2 linked regions of the Neodiprion lecontei genome follow. The protein of the gene in region 2 purifies or fractionates together with the protein of the main gene of each other region. This does not show direct contact. Links are inferred from orthologs where the notes say so. Each region holds a gene or a part of one and is shown on either strand. Other genes may lie near its edges.

Region 1 (3,935 bases), on a different chromosome or scaffold from region 2:
CAAAAACCAGAGGGAGCCGTTGACGTTGTCGGCATTGGAGGAGCCGGAGGACCCTGCACCCACTCTAGGCCCCACGGGGGCGAAGTAGCTGGGTCGTCTAGGGCGGAGAGGGTGCCGCGGCGTTATCTTCGAATCACGACAAAGGTGCCTTGAGCGAGGTTTCATTCAATTTTGGCCAGTCATTACATTTCCCCGAACGTTCCGTTTCTTGTGCCACCCACGGATTAGCTCGGCGCTATTAAATATTAATGAGATGTAAGAAAACTCCGGCCAATTCATCCATTCACGCTCCTTGGGATCGTTTCTTCAACCCGTCTTCTGCTCCCACCCTGCGGTTCTTACCCGCCTTTTGCAGCTCATTTCTTTTGCCGCCAACCATCAGGAACTCTTCAATGAACGGCGAACAATGAATATCGGGAAAGCTTGTTACAGACAGAAGACGGACGAGACTGATAACTTGTCGCTAACTGTCCGATGCTTTATAATTAGCCTCGAGTACGAAGACCCCTCGTTTCCTTTTTTGCTTAATCAGAAATCATTGTTCCAGCCTCCCATTATTCTTCTTGATTCGATCGTGCAGTTAGGTAACTCTTTTAGAACATTCAGGCAGAATCTGAATTCAAGTCCGATGATGAGAAGTGAAACCTATTGTTGAGATTCTCACCCACAACTGCTGGAGCTGGACGATGCATAGAGGTTAAAGCACATCTCGCCTCAACCGCCTCAACGAATTAACAAGTCGCTGATTTACTAAACTTTTGATCGGCATGGCGTGTTCGCTTGCAAGCGTAAGGATAATTTTGTAGCAAATTAATAAATTTCAACATCGGTGCAAGGAAATGCTCGTATCAGATTTTTGCTCCCGGCAATTCTATAAAGTCCAAGTTCTTGATACGTACAAATATTGTTTCTTTTACCGATAAAACAGTCTCCTGATGTTGTATCGAATGAGACTACAGACGCCATCTATTGGCTGATGCCTGAAGCGGGCAGGCAGCGTCATCATCTTTTGACTGGAACCAGTGTCTGCCATTTCCGTAATCCATGGTCCTTGTGCCGCTGCTGCTGATAGTGCAAATATGGCGGCCACACAAAGCATTTGTAACAACAGTGCGTATTAATATCACAGTCAACAAATAACGGGGTTAGAACAGTCAGAGTTTGGAAGTGGAATGAAGTGCTGACGACAAATCACCTCGGTACAGACTGTTAATAAACGATTAATTTCCCTTAATTATATAACGCGATTCCCCGAATCGAGGATAAAATCGTCGTCGCCCTGCTAGTGCTGCGTATTATATCTATGTATTCATATATTTCAATAAAAAGTAATTGATGTTCGTTCCTAGTACTGTGCAGTCGTGATTTCGTTTCGCGATTCGGTCGTTAGGTATGACCTTCGCATCTTTTCGCCCCAGCAATAAACTGGCATTTGGAAATTCGACGAGGCGGTGAAACTGCGGACCGAGTTGAGTTACTCTGCTTATCGCACGCGAAGTATTTCTCCCGTTTTGTTCGCCCGTCGCTTTCGCGGCCGTCCATCATGACGATTTTGGCGAAAAAGAAACCCAACGGTACGAAGGACAGACGCGAGCCTGGCAACGGAGCCGAGGTTGATGTACACGGGGTTCAAGTCGAGCATGGAGCTGGTCCGATCGCCTTGCAGTCCAACAGTTCTTATCAGGTAATTAGAGAGACAATTTATGGTTAGAAACATCGCATTCGTTCCCAACCACGTTCGAAGGTTGAGAGAGAAGGAATAGAAAAATTTCACGTCCAGCAGTGGTCACTCATGGTAATCCATTACGTGTGACAATTGGTCTGAAATTAGAAATAAATGCTAATCAGTGTCGAAGGAAATTTTTGCATATAGATTTGACATCTACATTATTTGTTAATTGCGGATTGTGTAATTCCTGAAGTATTCATTTTCACAATATTGTAATGATTTGCCAATAAGCGACCTCTGAACAACACTTCTTTTGTTCCTCACGACATCTATATTTACCATTTGGATGAATGGTTTATCTATTATCTATCCTATGTATCTAGAGTTCAGATAATTGTTTTACTGGTAAACTGGTTTGTACCGATTGATAGATCATCAGCAAACATGCTTGCCTAGGAGAAGGAATCCTCTTTATCGTTGGCTGAAACACTGCGATGAAATCTAAGCTCTGCTTTCTACAGTCTGTTGCTAACATTTCCTATCTATTTCAACTAACGATACTTGTTAATCTTTAATTTTTCAATTCACTGAATTTCACATTTACGATTTTGCTAATCAAAGTTGTTCGTATCACCGATCTCTTATTACAGACTAGTGTTGATCGCCGGGAAGAAAAGCACTTTGAGGAGGCTAGTGGATCAAGCCATGGGAAACGTCATCGCCAACGTGCGAGTCCTCACAGGTATCTAATTTTCTCACCTTGTTATAAAGATAAACTAGCTCGATTGTTTCTCACCTTCCAAATCATCTTTATAATTGCTTGGTCATACTACAACAGCTGCATTGGCAGAACGTCCCGGTCTAAACGTGAAAGAGAACGAGACAGGGGTCGAGAGAGAGAAAGAGAGCGGGAAAGGCAAGCGACTCCACCAACGGCATCATGCAGTGGGCTGCAAGGTGAGAATTGCTCAATGAACTTGTAATGAAATTGTTCAATTGTGATTTTTTTGTTACAACGGTATTATTCATATACCTGAATTTATCATTTGCATACATCCGTAATCCTAGAAATAAAGAAGGAATCACCTTGCCACTAATTATTCTTCAAATTCTAACACTCTAATATTTGCCATTTTTTTAGGTACAGATGCTAATGTTATTGGAAACAACCGTATGGCAATAGTAGCTGGTGCTCCGAGCCTTGAGCCAGAATTAGCAAATGGCTATAACAGTGGGGATGAGTACACAGGTCGCACTGGAAACAATTTGACCATTGCGGAATGGCAAGAGGTTAGTGTTAGCTGCCATTAAAAGAGTAAAAAATAATTACTTGCTACTTCTATTTACAATGAATTTTCAGCGTGACCGATGGTTTGAAAAACGGATGCGGAAGATGGGGTTCGTGGTTAAAAAAATGGGTGAAGACGGAGCATGTCTTTTTAGAGCTGTCGCCGACCAGGTTTACGGTGATCAAGAGATGCACAGTGTCGTACGAAAGCATTGCATGGATTATATTGTGAGTAATTCACAATGATTTCGAGCTTTGTCATACAAAGAACTCGATATCAATAATGTTTACTATAGTGAAGGACCATTTTATTTCAGGCTGCCAATCAGGAATTTTTTTCCCACTTTGTTGCCGAGGATTTCTCTACTTACGTGGACAGAAAACGACAAGAATACGTCCACGGTAATCATATAGAGATGCAGGCAATGTCAGAGATGTACAATCGTAGCGTTGAGCTATTTTGCTACGGAACAGGTAAGCGATTCGATGATGTTGACAAAAGGCTATTTGGTAGAAGATATGTCTTCCATACTATACAAAATCACATGAAAATACTGTTGAATATAATTGACAAAGACGTTTTTCCTTTCGCTTCAATGAAACACAAAAGAACCGATCAACATTTTTCACGGGGTACACAAAAGCGACAACGAACCGATTCGGTTGTCGTATCAACGCGGCAGTCACTACAACAGCATCGTAAACCCCTATAAAGCAACAATCGGCGTCGGACTAGGTTTGCCCTCGTACAATCCCGGAGCGGCGGATCGTGCTCTCGTTTCTGATGCGGTTCGACAGAGCGAAGAACTGCATATTGAACAGGTTAGAAATTCTACGTTCGTTATTTTATTTATCGATCATTATTTCGGGAAAGTATGACTAATCCATCCTTATTTCTCGGTGACACAGACCATGCTTGAAGACAAGATAAAAGCCACCGATTGGGAGGCTACCAATGAAGCAATCGAAGAACAAGTC
Region 2 (3,284 bases):
TAGCTTACGCTCTATTTTACATAAATAACTCTATGGTCTCAATAGCCGGGTGAAAACACTACGTAAACTATGCACAACGCGACCTAATGTTTACAGTATTACCGTAACATGCGACGACAGGCAAAATTTGAATTCTCTGACCACTTACGGTGTATATCCTCAGTCAACAACGGTTTCGGTCATGCCCTTAGGTTATGCCCTTGTCATATGCAGGTCGAACTTTTTCGAACCATTGGGCTGAGATCGCCACCTTCGGCGTTACGGGCACACCGCGCCTATTGTTATACGCAGCCCAAAGAATAAAGATTAGCCTACATATGACAAAGACATGATTGAAACCTGCACACACCTGCATCCTGTACGAAAAACACGGAAGGGGGCTGTCGCCCAATAATGACGTGATAACCTCAACTTAGTAATTTTATAATCTTAATAAACAGAAGAACTGGTTAGCTATCATACAATTGCAACAATAAATTATTGCCCTAAAAATTATTCTCTATTGATATGTTACGGAATTTATTGAAAATATTAAACTTTAAATATGATTGTCGGTTAGATACATATAGAATTTATTATGTTCTTAAAAAAAATTGGTCAACTATCAAATAATTCTAACTGCACTAGAATCATCTATAGACGAACTGCAAACAATTTCATTAGTTATATTATATTACATTAATGTTTTGTTGACTAAACTCGTATTAATCTATATGCTCTTACTATTCTCCCGGAAAACCTTATCTAGGGGGTTTCCGTAGTAAACTGTAATACATGTAAATAATACTTTTGGATAGGGTTACAATCATGTTATCTAGTAGTCGCAAGATTCTCGTACTACAGTTGACCGTGGTTAGTGGGGATTATGAAATAGAAAAGAAAAAAATTGTACCGACGGTCGTGTGTTACAGGGGCAAGGGGGGGACACCGAGAAGACCGTCGGTAGAAGATACTACTAGACCGCAGCGACGCGTGTGGCGGCGATCGAAAAGAATATTCAGAGCTCGTAACGGTGTCACATGTCCTCATTGAAATGAGGATTCGTTTCTAAGCCTGTATACCTATAAGACCGTGCTGTATACTGCCTGTGTTTCAAGACTATGGTATATGGTGTAAGGCATTGGAACTTGAAGCAACGTGAAACGTAGAAAATTTAATCACGCAATTTGAAGAAAAAATCTTGCTAACGAAGACAATTTAAGAAGTTTAACTCGACTTTGATATCAGTTCGAAAACGAAATGTCACCGTCTAAAATCGATGAAGTAAGTGCACAGCCTACGATCCTAATTTATCTCAAAAACTCCGACAAAGCTTAAAGTTCATAGAATGTTCTACGGGTTTCGGTTTTAGCTGTCAAATTCGTGACATTTGTATCATTGTGAATTTAATATGTGAACATACAATTTAATTCCCAAACAAAAAAAAAACTAGATCAACATATTCAACCAAAAATTTGATTTGAACATTTTTATACATTGGGTAAACTTTCTGTGAGAATTCTCTGTTAAAAATGATCAACATTACAGATCAAACTGGATATCGAGGAGCTAAATAAGTTTATGGAACAAGCAACTCGACAAAAGACAAAGGATATTCTCACATTGGAGCTACGAAAACTTCAAACAGAATTGTCTAAGCACTTAGAAGGAAACCAAAACCCGGAAACTAAACCAACTTCAACACAAGTGTTTGGTAACAAATGTTATGAAGTTAAACTGAACAATTATGCATGGGATCAGTCAGAAAAGTTTATAAAAATATACATTACATTAAAGAATGTTCAATCTTTACCAAAAGAAGCGGTATACTGCGATTTCATGGAGAGATCTATTGATCTTCGCGTCTTAGGATTGGACAGTCGAAATTATCAGCTTCCTATTAACAATTTATGTGAAGAAATAATTCCTGAACAAAGCTATACAAAAGTTAAAACTGATATGATTGCTATATTTTTGGCTAAAAAATCACCTAAGAATTGGTCCCATGTTACTGGTGTTGAAAAAAGAATAAAAGAATCTAAGACACCAGCAGTGCCTGAAATGAGCGAGGATAGTGACCCAAGCTCAAATTTGATGAGTCTTATGAAGAAGTTTTATGATGAGGGTGATGACGATATGAAGAGAACGATCGCAAAAGCATGGACCGAAAGTCAAGACAAACGAACATCCGGCCTGCCTTCTGTTTCACCTCTTTGAATGATATATTGTTAATGTCATAAACTTATGTTTATATACTATAGAAATTAAGATTTCATAATATACAGGGATTCTCTGGTGAAAGAGTAACCTCTTAGCCACGTGCCCACGCACAACTTTGACATGAGCTAAGCGTAGCGGACACACGCTACGATTGAAAACTTCATCATGTGTTGGCACTGGCAGTGTGCGCGTGGTTCAGAGGTTGACCTTGCATTAGAGATTCTCTGAATGTATACCGCTTTGCAGTATAAGTTCTTATCGGTTTTCTAATGATCATAACTATCGTTTATTCAGCATCGCGAAATATATGTTTCTGCTGTGTAGGAATATGTAACCTTGAAGACAAATACAATAAATAAATTATAAAATTATAATCGCCTTGTTTTTAATATCCCCGAGAGTATTATTGCATCTTCCTTTGATCATGAGCCACAGACAGCATTCGACCACTTAAATCCTATAGAAATGCAAAATTTTAATGATACACACGGGCAATTTAAAGCAGCAGAACTATGTTAGAGGATTTAAAATAACTTCCTTTTTACTTTAGTTTGATAATTACAAATTTTTGTTACCAGCGGTATGGTTTCGAATACTTAAATAATTTATTGCTAAAGGAAAAGAAATTGGTAGTTTTTCTAAATTTGCGATTTTATTTGTTTTCAAATAAATACAATTCGCTTCGGTGTATAATTAATGGCTAGTGTAATTGTAATTTACAAAATACATAGATGCAGTATGGTATTTTGTTCCGCAATCTAACCAAGCTAGAAAAACTAAAATCCTGTTCGACCGTTCATATTTTTATGATGTAAATACCTATGTGTAATTACATTTTCAGACCACTGTTCAGATTTATAAAAAAAATTCGCAATTCAAGACATGGTGGCTACTAGTCAGGAAAAACCGGAAAGTCCGAGAAAAGTCAAGAAATTTGAAATATGGTCAGGGCATGTTATGGCGATGTAATGGGACAAAAAGGAAGTTTTTCCCATGAAATAAAATTTTAAGTTATTTCGCCATGCTGTATTTCATGACCTTCGAATAGAGCACCGATTAATTCGGAACTTCATTTATCAGATATT

The links.
Region 1: the proteins of calcyclin-binding protein (region 2) and OTU domain-containing protein 5-A purify together in Homo sapiens (affinity purification with mass spectrometry; 4 studies listed by BioGRID and IntAct, with this or other methods). This does not show direct contact. The link is inferred for Neodiprion lecontei from reciprocal best matches to the Homo sapiens genes CACYBP and OTUD5.

Annotation. Positions count from the first base shown.
Region 1 is NC_060264.1:33,610,171-33,614,105, forward strand, and holds the start of OTU domain-containing protein 5-A, read left to right. Parts: upstream 1-1,052; 5' UTR 1,053-1,199; intron 1,200-1,349; 5' UTR 1,350-1,543; coding exon 1,544-1,684; intron 1,685-2,319; coding exon 2,320-2,411; intron 2,412-2,507; coding exon 2,508-2,626; intron 2,627-2,810; coding exon 2,811-2,959; intron 2,960-3,029; coding exon 3,030-3,185; intron 3,186-3,274; coding exon 3,275-3,431; intron 3,432-3,567; coding exon 3,568-3,779; intron 3,780-3,866; coding exon 3,867-3,935. UniProt on the Homo sapiens protein: Deubiquitinating enzyme that functions as a negative regulator of the innate immune system. Has peptidase activity towards 'Lys-48'- and 'Lys-63'-linked polyubiquitin chains. Can also cleave 'Lys-11'-linked ubiquitin chains (in vitro).
Region 2 is NC_060262.1:27,525,575-27,528,858, reverse strand, and holds calcyclin-binding protein, read left to right. Parts: upstream 1-1,052; 5' UTR 1,053-1,239; coding exon 1,240-1,263; intron 1,264-1,527; coding exon 1,528-2,196; 3' UTR 2,197-2,573; downstream 2,574-3,284. UniProt on the Homo sapiens protein: May be involved in calcium-dependent ubiquitination and subsequent proteasomal degradation of target proteins. Probably serves as a molecular bridge in ubiquitin E3 complexes. Participates in the ubiquitin-mediated degradation of beta-catenin (CTNNB1).